Linked DNA regions of Saccharomyces cerevisiae S288C. Changing the gene in region 1 together with any one later gene gives a genetic interaction. Each region holds a gene or a part of one and is shown in the gene's direction. Other genes may lie near its edges. The genes, in order: YOL162W, MGA1, FIT2 and ECM3.

The links.
Region 2: mutations in YOL162W (region 1) and MGA1 together harm fitness more than expected from each alone (negative genetic interaction), as found in Saccharomyces cerevisiae (one large-scale study listed by BioGRID).
Region 3: mutations in YOL162W (region 1) and FIT2 together harm fitness more than expected from each alone (negative genetic interaction), as found in Saccharomyces cerevisiae (one large-scale study listed by BioGRID).
Region 4: mutations in YOL162W (region 1) and ECM3 together harm fitness more than expected from each alone (negative genetic interaction), as found in Saccharomyces cerevisiae (one large-scale study listed by BioGRID).

Annotation. Positions count from the first base shown.
Region 1 is NC_001147.6:8,249-11,294, forward strand, and holds YOL162W (uncharacterized protein), read left to right. Parts: upstream 1-1,870; coding exon 1,871-2,518; downstream 2,519-3,046. Other genes in the region: YOL163W (uncharacterized protein), read left to right, coding at 1,349-1,858.
Region 2 is NC_001139.9:986,316-989,982, forward strand, and holds MGA1 (Mga1p), read left to right. Parts: upstream 1-1,733; coding exon 1,734-3,104; downstream 3,105-3,667. Other genes in the region: 6-phosphogluconolactonase SOL4, read left to right, coding at 1-424.
Region 3 is NC_001147.6:1,057,579-1,060,496, forward strand, and holds FIT2 (Fit2p), read left to right. Parts: upstream 1-1,952; coding exon 1,953-2,414; downstream 2,415-2,918. Other genes in the region: FRE3 (ferric-chelate reductase), read left to right, coding at 1-102; YOR381W-A (uncharacterized protein), read left to right, coding at 845-1,012; FIT3 (Fit3p), read right to left, coding at 2,863-2,918. UniProt on the Saccharomyces cerevisiae protein: Involved in the uptake of non-siderophore and siderophore sources of iron. Has a role in the retention of iron in the cell wall and periplasmic space.
Region 4 is NC_001147.6:493,505-497,530, forward strand, and holds ECM3 (putative ATPase ECM3), read left to right. Parts: upstream 1-1,622; coding exon 1,623-3,464; downstream 3,465-4,026. Other genes in the region: translation machinery-associated protein TMA46, read left to right, coding at 1-966; CMR2 (Cmr2p), read right to left, coding at 4,002-4,026. UniProt on the Saccharomyces cerevisiae protein: May be involved in cell wall organization and biogenesis.

The DNA of each region.
Region 1 (3,046 bases):
CTGATTATCATATACGATATCGAGAATGATATAAGTTATAAAGCTTGTAAAGTGTGGTTCGAGGTGTTATCGTATTTACTACAATTGGAAAAGTACGGATTAATATACAGTGAAACTAATGAATCAGAGTGTTTAAAAAAGGAAGACACAGTAATCTATAATACTTTGGTGGAGCTACAGGTTTCTATTTACAGTCACCTATACTTCCGAAGAGAGCTTTTCGTATATTCTGTTTTCCTAATAACATTTACTATTGTGAATTGAAATTTAAAGTTATCTCAAATTCAAATGAATCTGCCGTTTCGATTTACTTCGATAAAGTTTGCGTTCTTCAAAATGGTAGTTTCAGACCATCTACTTTCCATCACCTGGTTTTCATCGACATTCCAGCTAATAGTGGAAAGATAGATTCACACTAACGGTGGAATACAAACTCATAGTGATTACAACTGTTTCGGGCTTGTGGCGTATATTGTGGCGCGATGTAAGAGAATACTCAGAGGACCCTGCGCCACAAGCTAAGACAAAACAAAGAGAACTTATCTGGCAGCTCGCCGAGTTTCGGTGTTCTTTAGGGTGACGCTCACCGCTTGTCATTGTGAATAGACCACAATTTTCCTCCGATTTCTTCACAATGGCTCTGATGGAAAAGCCATCTGCTGAAGATAATATACTCACCTAGACTATTCAACAGCAATCGGGGTGTCATAGAGTTTTTTATCCATTACACAGATATGTAAATCTTTATTGACACTGCTGATAACCGAAGGCAGCCTGAGCCAATATACTTAGTATATAAACGTACTATTTCAGACACAAATTAATATAGCACTCTCTAAACACTTTGTTTCGTATTTATGTTTGAGTACAAGCCTGAAAAAGCCTCTGTAGAAACTACAGTTACTCAGTTAGAGGAGTCCCTTTCTGATAAACCTCTCTATTCATTGGTGAACATTCCCAATACCGACAACTCTCTGGAAAGCCTGAAAACCCCTTTTTAAATCCTGCTGTGGAAAAGTATTATAGACAGTTGTACGAGTCCACTAAGTATGAATGTCTTGAAAGATTTGATACAACATTTGAATGGACTAAGAAAGAAGAATAAAAAGTAGTGAGAAAGTTAGACTGGCATGTTACTCCCCTTTCATGTTTCCTATTTGTGGCCTTGCAGATTGATCGAGGTAATTTGTCACAAGCGGTCGCCGATAACTTATTGCATGATTTGGGTTTAAATGCTAACAATTATAACGTTGGAAACACCATATTCTACTTGACTTTCTTGTGTGCAGAATTACCCTCACAACTCATTTCGAAGAAACTAGGAGCTGATAGTTGGATTCCTCTGCAAATGATAGCGTGGTCCCTAGTGGCTACGTTGCAATGCAAAATGACAGGGAAGAGTTCTTTCTATACATGTAGAGCACTTATGGGCCTATTTGAAGGTGGTTTTGTGGCTGATTTGGTTCTCTGGATGTCGTACTTCTACAGCTCTTCAGAATTGTCAATAAGACTGTCGTTCTTCTGGGTGACACTATCTCTAACACAAATCATCACTTCAATTGTGGCCTTCGGGGTTTTTCACATGAGAGGGATAGGTGGCATGGCAGGGTGGCAATGGCTTTTTTTGATAGAAAGAATTTTCACTTTAGTCATCGGTATCAGTGCATACTTCTTGATGGTACCCTCCGTAGTTCAAACGAAGAAACCTTGGAGCAAGAAAGGATGGTTCACTGAGAGGGAAGAAAAAATCATCGTAAACAAGATTCTGAGAGATGATCCGACAAAAGGGGATATGAACAATAGGCAAGGTATGTCACTTAAAATGTTATGGCAGGGGATAACAGATTACTATATATAGCCTATCTACTTGATGGGCCTTTTGGCTTATATCCCTACGAACGTTTTGGCCACATACCTGACTTTGGTATTGAGAAGTATCGGTTTCACAACCTTTCAAGCCAACCTGCTAGCTATTCCTAACTTTGTTCTTCATATTCTCCTGCTGTTTGGTTTAACATGGTCGACAGAAAAATGTAATAACAGGCTAGGTTTGAGTCTGTTACAACCGTTGTACACTGTTCCTCTTCTTGCAGTTCTTCGCTTTTGGAAAGGTACAATGTTTAATAAATGGGGAACTTATGCAATTATTACCTTAATATTAGATAATCCGTATATCCATGCAATTTGTGTATCCTTGTGTTCTAGAAACTCCCAATCAGTTAAAACAAGAACAGTATCTACTTGCTTGTACAATATGTTCGTGCAAGCAGGTCTCATCATATCCTCAAACATTTATGCGAAAAGCGATGCCCCACTCTATCGTAAGGGAAATGGAGTTCTTTTTGGTTTGGCACTTTTTATGTTTCCAATATTAATTGGTAGCAAATTGATTTATGTCTATATCAACAAGCAGAGGGATAAGAGGTGGAATGCAATGTCAGAAGAGGAAAAAGACCACTATCTAAGTACTACTAGTGATGCTGGTTCACGTAGACTCGATTTTAGATTCTATCACTGAACTATGTAGAAATATGGATACAATCTCCATGTTATGTATTTTTTAAGTTTGTGAATCATTTTTTTCATTTAATGTTCTATACTATTTTCAATAAGATGGATTAAGGACTTATATTTACCCTATTGCCGTTGGTGTTTATGAACTAATCACTCTTTTTCCTTAATTATATGTTTAGGTGATTGCTTAGGTTTGTTTAGGGTATGATGAGCTTATTCACTATATTGTTGAGTTAAATATTCGAGATTTGAAATTTATAATTTGCTATAAATCTTGGTTTTCTTGGTCGGTTCCACAAAAAACTGTGCCAACCCAAAAATTTTGATATTTTACGTGTCGAAAAATGAGGGTCTCTAAATGAGAGTCTGATACCATGACTTGTAGCTCGCACTGCCCTGATCTGCAATCATGTTCTTAGAAGTGACGCATATTCTATACGGCCCGACGCGACGCGCCAAAAAATGAAAAAAGAAGCAGCGACTCATTTTTATGGAAGGACAAAGTGCTGCGAAGTCATACGCTTCCAATTTC
Region 2 (3,667 bases), on another chromosome or scaffold:
CAACGAATCATTAATCGGTGGCGGTGAAACGGCCAATAGAAAGATTGCCGAAGAATACGCTTCCATGCTGCCTGCATCATTCGACCTAATCTTACTCGGATGCGGAGAAGATGGACATACATGCTCGTTGTTTCCCGGGGTTGAATTTAATTACCTTGTAGAAGAGATGGACCGCAAGGTTTTATGGTGTAATAATTCGCCCAAGGCACCCAAGGACAGGATCACCTTTACATTAGCAGTAGTAGCCGAGGCTAAAAGTGTGTGCTTTCTCGTTAGGGGAGCTGCTAAAAAGGCTATCATGCATGACGTGTTAATCGTAAAAAATAGCGAACTACCTAGTGTGCTGGTTAATGAAATGGTCGGAACCAAAGTAACTTGGTTTCTCGACGACGAAGCTGGCGCCTTGATTCCTGAAAACTGCTAATTACACTCGTCTTTATACGAAACTGGCTCCGTTAATCACGACAGACAACCTTAATTACATTACATAATAATAAATAAATGACAACTGTCTTCTTTACAGCGTATGTTGGAGCTTACTCCCGAAGCATAAACCCAGTTCTTCTAGAAGAATTGACAGCAGAAAGGAAAGGGGTACCGAAGGCAAACTCAACCTTAAAAGTTCCGTAAGCAACCGAGCCTCCGCGAAGGTTGCATAACTTAAAAGAAAAACATAGCTCACCCGGTGATACCGTTACAACGCGTTAATCTTAATGCTATGACTCGGAACCACCTGCAAAACAGCGCTAACGGAAATTTCCATGGAAATAGAATAAGGGACGCAGCAGGGTTTTTTTTTTTGGCGAGCACACGAAATATAAAATTGCTTCGGGCCAGCTGCATGGAAGGGTTAATTTCGCCCCTTTATCGCAAGCTACGCAGTTCTCCTGGCTCGAGAATGAATCTGGCCCGCCGCAGACGTTTCCTGGCCCCAGATTAGGAAGCAGCGGCGGCGGAACGGAAGGTGCTCTAAGCAAAATAAGGAATATTAGCCACGCCGGTAATTCCCCTCCTTTGGTCTGCCCCTGGTCTGCCCCTTTCGTTTTTTATTTTTTTTTGGGTGAACGGAATACTCCGTGGGCGGCACAAGGAGAGCCTGCGTAGGAATCTGTGCGTCTCAGTCGGGCGGGCCGATTTAGCACCGATGGTTCGCTTTGGCTTGGGCTTACGGTGACTGCGAGATTTGCAGATTAGTGCATATCCGCGCCTTTGTATGACGTGAAGCGATCCGCCCTGAACAACTTGTTACGTATATGATGTTGACTCTGCGCCCCCGTCTCTCTGGTTGCTGCCTTCTGCGCTGATTTGGTGCAATCTTTCTTTTTTGTCTTTGAAAGATTTAAGCTTTTTTTCGAGAAGAAAAAGGAGGAACCGAAAAAATAATCTTTCAGTTGTTGACCCGTAGAGCAGAAAATGGAAGGCAGTAGATATCCATATCGAAGGAAAAGCACAAACTTATCACGTTTAGGGTATTCATTAACGTTGAAGTAATCAGGTAGTGAATAGCTCGAAGTTTTCCATGCTTTCCTTTCGGTTGCATCTTTCTTCCTTTGGGGTTTTATCTTGATACGTCGTTACTTACCTTTTTTTCCAATATATATATATTGGTAGTAGCTGATCATTGCAGAAGATCTAGATCTCCTTTACACGCTTTAAGGTTAGGCAGCTGTAACCCCTATATTGAATTTTCACCCACGCCATAAAATACAATAGCTCAGAGAACCGGTGGCCACATGCAACCTAAAACTTTCGTCCACCAACTTCATGCAATTCTTCTGGAACCGGAAGTAAATAAATGGATATACTGGTCTCCGACTGATAACACGGTATTTTTTTTGAAGCCATATGACCCTAATTTTAGTACACATGTTCTGAAGCGTTATTTCAAACATGGAAATGTCAATAGTTTTGTTCGTCAACTACACATGTACGGGTTTCATAAACTATCTCATCCTTCCCCAGACCAATCTTCTGCCAACAATGGTAACGTTAAAGAACTTGTTGAATGGAAATTTACCCACCCATCTGGATTCTTCTTCAAAGAGGCCAACGCCGGTATCTTGAATAAAATCCAAAGAAAGAGCACTGGTGTGGGAAAAGATGGTAAAAGAAAGAATATACTGTCACCAATATCTGTCAGTTACGTTGATGCTTCGAGGTTAAATGTTCTCTCTCAGCAATCCGGACCAGTTTCTGCAAGAGAACCATCAAACATGTTTATGGGCAGTCCCGTCCATTACTCAACATCCCAAAGTCCTCCACATATCAGTATACCGCAACAGCAACAAAGTAGTGGACCTTACCTAATATCTTCACTGCCCCCTCAACAACCCACGGTGAACATGATGCGAAGGCAAAGCATCTCGGCGAGGATGATGAATTCTTATGACTATCCCAATCAATTTTCCACCCAAGATAGCATAGTCCAGCCTCAGCAGCCGCAACAAGTACTTTCTCCACAAGCATTATCTGGACCTCCGATGAAGAAATCAGGAACACTATCTTCGACAGATGATCTGAAAACAACTTCCTTGCCAATTGTTAATTACCCAATGCCGTATCATCCTGGAGCTTTTGCCCAGCAGCAGCAGCAGCAGCAGCAACCGCTCCCTACAGTCCCGCCATATAGCAGTTACTCCACTCCATTTCCCTCAATGATGAACTCTCTTTCGAACTCTGCTTCTAACTCACCTGCTTTAGGAGTTTGTAATAATAATGTAACACTACCCAAAAAAAGCAATATAAGTGAAAGGCAAGCTTTGGATAACCATATACAAACTTTAAAGAACTCTCTATCAACAATCACTGATTTGATAGAAAAACATATTAACAGCGCATCGCAAGATGAAAATAAAACTCTAACTAATGATGCCATGAACAAAGACCTTCGAACAAGCTTATCCCTATTACAGAATTCCAAGGAGGAAATCATTCAACTTGAAAGTAAATGGATGTCTATGCAATCTGTTAAAACAACTGCCCTACCCCTTCAAGAGACTACGAATACATCATCGACCTTAACTTCTCTGACGTCCAGCATAATTCCCAAGAGTATACCTATAATCACGAAAGGTGAAGTCGCCACTAAACCAGCATCTTACTGAATTATTTTCAACAGAACACATCGCATCCAACTGAACAAACTGTTACCGCTGTTGATACCAAGGAACATTCAGTGAACGTAGGGAAGAACGAACATTCTCCATATTTTTGCATACTAGATACAAGGGGGAAGAATGCAATTATTTCACAAACCGAAAGAAAAAGAATCACAAGCTATGTTTGCTATTATCAATTTTTCTTATGATTAATTTAACATAAATTATGGCCTTTTTCATTCCGGCTGCGCTTGTTCTCCAATTTTTTTTTTTTTTTTGAGAAAACTTTAAAAATTTCAAATGTAAGAAAGTAGAGCAGATCTTTTAGCAAGGATCCGCTTAACATTCCAACAAAAAAGGAAAAATAAAACAATAATTTCGTTCCCCATCTATCCTTCGCCTCTCCTTCGCTCTGTAATTTTTTTTACTCGCGCGCTTCCGACTTTTGAAAGAAGGAGCAATAAAGTTAAATAAATGTAATTAAATTATGCTTTTTTAGGCAAGTTCGGGACTTTGTTGCCACGTATTGCTCTTCTATGCAAGCACTTCACTCCTTTTCTTTCATCTCT
Region 3 (2,918 bases), 1.0 Mb from region 1:
CCTCCTGTTTTCGTTGACGAAGTAAGGGATCAAACGGCAAATCTTGTTCTAGAGAAGCCTGCAAAGGCAATCGAATACTTTGAAGAATACCAAAGTTGGTAATCAATTACCTTATTTATTTCCTCACTATTTTACCTATCACAAGTATATATTTAATTGTTTTGACCTGAAACATAATTTATGTCTAGCTGCAATGAAGACAATTGATCGACTTTCACAAACTTTTTCAATCTACTAATCTTTGGAAGCATTTTTTAACTGTCTCCCACTCTTGTTCCATGACTTAAATTTCTCTTCCTCCAAATTAACTGAATTTTTTTTCTGGATTGATGTTCTTTCCAATTGTTGTGGTAATCCACAGCTGGTATAACATAAAAAGAAGTTTTTTGTAAAAAAAAAAAATTTCTCAGTAAGCATATAAGCCTCAGTGAAATAAAATTTTAACAACTACACGCTATTCTATTCCATTTGCCCTGCTTTTCTCGCTTCGTTATCACCTAACCACTAAGAACATACTAATAATACAAAATTTTTATCCACTTTTTACCAACAGATTTTCATGAAATATCCATCTTCTTTCCGAATTCTGTATAAAATGAAAGAGAGATTTTTTGCTCTCAATCCAGGCTCAAGGCTCTTGAGAACAGGTAATTGTTGTTTAGCACGTTTTCAACACATTTATCAGAAAACGACAGTTAAAAATAAGACGAGCGGCGTTATCATCCTGATAGTCACTAAATGAAAAGCAGGTACTTTTGAAGAGCACATGTAATATTTGCTCAACTGATAATACCTTCATTTTATACACACTTCTAATTTTTTTTTTAAAATCAGATACGCATTGATGTTCAATGTAGCATTACCATCACAAGACAAAAAATCAGAATTTTACAAGCAAAAGCGCTTATCTTTAAGGACCAACATATTAGATGAATTCTTAAGGGTTGCCAAAACGCAAGACAACAGGCAAAATAATTTCGTTTCTCAGTACCGAAATGACGAAATATACTGAGGCAAATGCGATCATCATGCCTTTGCGCCAAGAAACTCCCTTGTGAAGAACTTCAAACCGAAATGGGAAAACTTTGAGTTATTGACAGGGAATACGGAGGGGAAGATCACACTTAAATCCGTATGAGCCGCGCACATAATGGTATTCAAATACACAAGAACATTCATGAGCTATTTTTCATCCGTGCAAACGAATTTACTACAATTGGACCAGAGGGCACCATAACTGGAGACTTTGCTACTGACTCAACGTTGATGATGCGAGTAGTGGGTGTACTGTGATTTGCTCATTTTTTTTTTTATAGAAAGATTCGATTAATGAAAGTCACAGGAGACATTTTTACATAGACATTCCGTATATGTTGCGGGTATCGCGGATGCGGATTAGTGATGCCTTTAACTACATTTCATAGATTTCTGTATACCAATTGAAATGAGTGAAGTAAGCTCCTACAGTGAAATATCTGGGTGCTACTGACGCCAAGCCCTACAGCGATCGGAATGCGGGAACGGAAGTTAACGGGGCTTCCAGAACGGCGGAAGCGAATTGAACGAGGACGGCAAACAAAAACACCCAAAATTTCATTACTTAGAATGACCCTCAAGAGCAGGGTGCAATTTATCAAGCGATCATTGAACTAACTAAGTTCATATCCTGTATAGGATTTAAAACAATGCACCCTAAGTTCAAATGCACCCCCCCTCGCCCCGCAGCGGACCCTTGAACAGAGAACTGTTTCGAGGTTCACCCAATTGGATCACTTGTATAATTTGTAATCGAGTTCGGATAAGATGTATACGAATCTAACTGGGTGCAGTATAATTAGCATTTTATATTACCTAGCAATATATGTATAAAACAGGAATGTGTGCGTGCTTCAGGCAGAATTTTACGGTCCTTGTAAAAAAGTCTATCATAAAGCCATCACAAAACAATAATAATGAAATTCTCAACTATTTTCGGAGCTACTACAGTTATGACTGCCGTCTCGGCAGCAGCTGTGTCGAGTGTAATGACCACTAAGACTATTACTGCTACTAACGGTAATAACGTTTACACTAAGGTCGTTACCGACACCGCTGACCCTATCATTAGTTACAGTACCACTAGAACTGTCGTTGTCAGTAATAGTGATGCTACTTACACAAAGGTTGTCACCGAAGGACCAGATACCACCTCTGAAAAGAGTACAACAAAGACACTTACTTTGACAAACGGTTCAGGTTCATCAACCAACCTTTACACCAAGACCGTCACTCAAGCCGTCGAATCATCTACATCCTCCTCATCCTCCTCATCCTCCTCCTCCTCTTCTGCCTCTTCTTCTGGTGCTGCTCCTGCTGCATTCCAAGGAGCAAGTGTCGGTGCATTGGCCCTTGGTTTGATTTCTTACCTATTATAAGCTCGGTTTCAAACCAGAAAAAAGCTATTAGTTATCGTGTATAGCATATTTATAACTTATCTATGAAAAGCTAATATAATTGTCTTTCTCCTTCAAAAGGCTAGTAAAAAGGACTTTTTTTCATTACGTTTCTCAGTGACTTCAATGTAGCAGTTTTTCGTTTCATCATCATCATCGTATTATTATTATTGTTATTATTATTATTATCATTACTTTTATTAATATTAACTATTTTTTTAGTATGATTTCGGGTATATTTATTTTAATTAGATACTTTTAACCGTTTCAAACAATTAAAGGAAGACCAACGAACTTGAAACAGTATATATACATACATACTTAATGTGTGTTATTAAAATTTTTTTATTCTAACATAACTTCGAAAAAAGGCCAAGCCGCAAGGTGCTTCATAAAAATCGGATATCCCGCATGATTATTCACATATCATTTACAATAACATGACGGCAGCAAGGGCAGCACCCATCAAACCAGTACCAGCGGTGA
Region 4 (4,026 bases), 490 kb from region 1:
ATGAAGAACAAGAACCGTTCTACCAAAGTCCAAAAATACATCAAACAAGTGCAATCACAATCCGACCCCAAGAAAGAAGAGATGAGGTTAAAGAAACTCGAAGAAAAAAAGCGCAGAGAAGCCGAAGAAGCTGAACGAAGAGCACTATTCAACCCTGTAGCAGACCAAAGGGTTCGTGCGGGTGTAGATCCCAAGTCCATGGTTTGTGCTCTGTTCAAACTGGGGAATTGTAACAAAGGTGCCAAATGTAAGTTCTCACATGACTTGAACGTCGGTAGAAGAATGGAAAAGAAAGATTTATACCAAGATACAAGAAGTGAAAAGGAAAATGACACAATGGACAACTGGGATGAAGAAAAGCTGAGAAAAGTTATCCTGTCGAAGCACGGTAACCCAAAGACCACCACCGACAAAGTATGCAAATACTTCATCGAGGCCGTGGAAAACGGTAAATACGGTTGGTTTTGGATTTGTCCTAACGGAGGTGACAAATGTATGTACAGACACTCCCTACCAGAGGGCTTTGTGCTGAAAACCAACGAGCAAAAGAGGCTCGAGAGGGAGTCGCTCGAGAAACAGCCAAAAATTACGCTGGAGGAGTTTATCGAAACAGAAAGAGGGAAACTAGACAAATCCAAGCTAACACCAATAACAATTGCCAACTTCGCCCAATGGAAGAAGGACCACGTCATCGCAAAGATTAACGCTGAAAAGAAGTTATCTAGTAAGAGGAAACCTACTGGTAGAGAAATCATTCTTAAGATGAGCGCCGAAAACAAGTCATTTGAGACGGACAACGCCGACATGCCAGACGACGTCACCCAGGGATCCGCATGGGATCTTACTGAATTCACAGATGCCTTGAAGAAGGCTGACCACCAAGACGACGGCGGCATCAAGGACTACGGTGACGGTAGCAACCCCACCTTCGACATCAAAAAAGCCAACTCCGCCACGCTCGCATAGTCTAAAATTCATATAGACTAAACTGTATATATGCCACCGTATATATAATACACGCACACACACCAACACAAAGCATGTCACGTCATGTAGCTGATCACGCAGCACGACCGCGGCCCATGCTTATCTGCCGTCTTTTTGCCCCTTTCGATATCCCACGCCCCACGCCCCCACGTTGTTGAGGTGTTTTTTCACCTCGGATCCGCCCGACAATATCTGGGATTAAAAGTGCTCGAGTTTTGCTCTCTATTTCACAATCGGTGATAGTTGAGCTTCCTTTCACTGCATCTCTTTGCAGCCTCGGGGGATGAGGCTATATACTTAGAGGGCCTGAATATATGTTTGACGCATCCCTCCTTCGTACGCTACCATCTGTTACTCTTGCACCGTTATTATATGCTTGTAATTTTTGTTATATAATAGGCCTTTCATTGTTTTTAATATAGACTTTCATCATAGGGCATCCGGAATTTCTTCTCAGAAGCCTCGCAATTTTTCTTTATATTAGGTTTTTCAGACTTTACATTTGTACAGAAACTGCGTATTGTTGACCATTACCGAGAGGAAGATAAAAAGGCATAGATAGTTAAGTTTAGCATTATAGAACCAACACAAACAAAACAATAGAAGACAAAGAGTAAGTTCAAGACAAGTAGACAATGACACACATCACACTGGGACAAGCCATCTGGGCCTCTGTCAGACCAATCATCAAAATCTATCTGATTATTGGTGTAGGCTTCGGTTTATGCAAGATGAACATCTTAACCGTTCAGGCCACAAGGTCCATCTCTGATATCGTTTTAACAATTCTGCTTCCTTGTTTATCATTCAATAAAATCGTAGCAAATATAGAAGATAACGATATCAAAGATGTCGGCATTATTTGTCTGACGTCTGTTATACTGTTCGCAACTGGCTTGGGGTTTGCCTTTATTGTTCGCAGTGTGCTGCCTGTTCCTAAGAGATGGCGTGGTGGTATACTTGCAGGAGGTATGTTTCCCAATATCAGCGATCTACCCATCGCCTATTTGCAATCCATGGACCAAGGGTTTATATTTACAGAAGCAGAAGGTGAGAAAGGTGTTGCCAACGTTATCATCTTTCTGGCCATGTTTTTGATATGTGTTTTCAATTTAGGTGGTTTCAGACTAATTGAAAACGATTTCCATTACAAAGGTGATGACGATGAAGAAAATACGTTGACCAATGATGATTCTGCCCAACAGCCAACACAACCAATTGAAGGCAATTCTTCTTCTTCATCCAACCAAGATATCCTGAAAGAGCCCAACGAGTCTACCGTTCCTAACAGTTCACAAGCAAGCTACATTTCTGAGAAAAATAAAAAAGAAAAAACTGAACTCTCTGTCCCCAAGCCTACACATACTGCCCCTCCAGCAATAGATGACAGGAGCTCGAACTCATCCGCGGTGGTCTCTATCGATAGCATTACACACTCACTACGCACAAACCATGTGGATGCCCAATCTGTAAGCGAGCTTAACGATCCTACTTACAGAACTAGAAGTCAACCAATAGCATACACTACCGAGTCAAGAACATCACATGTTCATAATAACCGCAGGAATTCCATCACTGGCTCCTTACGTTCCATCGATATGCGTGAACTACCCGCGGAAGGCATGTCGGATTTAATTCGTGAATACTCCAATGTTGATCAATACGGTAGAAGAAGGAAAAGTTCTATCAGCTCCCAAGGAGCACCCTCTGTTTTGCAGGCAGACGGTACTATTTCTCCAAATTTGACTAGAACCTCCACTTTACAAAGAGTCAAAACTTCCAACCTAACAAGAATAATCACCTCAGATGCCACTGTTAGTAAGAAAGATATTGAGACTTCCGGTTCCTCTTTACCAAAATGGCTACAGAAATTTCCCTTAACAAAATTTTTCGTCTTTTTTCTAAAAAATTGTCTAAGGCCTTGTTCCATGGCTGTTATCCTGGCTTTGATTATCGCTTTTATTCCCTGGGTAAAAGCCCTTTTCGTTACGACCAGTAATACACCAAAAATCAAACAAGCCCCAGATAATGCACCTGCTCTAACTTTCATTATGGATTTTACATCTTATGTTGGAGCCGCTTCAGTTCCCTTCGGTTTGATTCTTTTAGGCGCTACTCTTGGTAGATTGAAAATTGGAAAATTATACCCTGGTTTCTGGAAATCCGCAGTGGTATTAGTCTTTCTCAGACAATGTATCATGCCGATCTTTGGTGTCTTGTGGTGTGACCGTCTAGTGAAAGCGGGATGGCTAAATTGGGAAAACGACAAGATGTTATTGTTTGTTACCGCCATTACTTGGAACTTACCAACAATGACCACCTTAATCTACTTCACTGCAAGTTATACCCCTGAGGACGAAACTGAACCCGTTCAAATGGAATGTACCTCTTTCTTTTTGATGCTTCAATATCCTTTGATGGTCGTTAGTTTACCATTTTTGGTGTCTTATTTCATCAAAGTTCAAATGAAATTATAAAGTTCGTTAAGGAAGAAACAAGATCTATTCATGCATTCCCATTCTCATTCTCATAATTTCATTTCATCGTACAACTGAATCAGGGTGTAATTTTATAGTTGTTTGTTGGTCTTTTTTTATCAACGTAGAATTCACTTATTTCAGATTTTATAGAGTTTCATAGTATAAAAATAATAATGAAAACAAAACTTCATGCTTTTTCTTCTGTTTATACAATTTCACTTTTGATTGTTATTCAAAAAAATAACATTTAGTCGCAGCTTCTCAGTGTTACTAATCTTTTTCTTCTTTTTTCGAACATAAGATTTTCTGATGGAACGAAAAAAGGTGATCTTTTAATTATTTGTGAATCATAAATATCCTTTTCATTAATTTTTAAGTGGTATAGCGTATTTACATATAAAACATACATGATTATTTCATGTTTATAATCAAAAATTATAAATAATTATTTAATCTCTAATATAGATTAATTAGAGTCTTTCCACAACTCAGTAGCATCCAATAGTCATGACAAATTTACTGTACTTGGATGTGTTAAATATTGTCCTTTTCATAATCT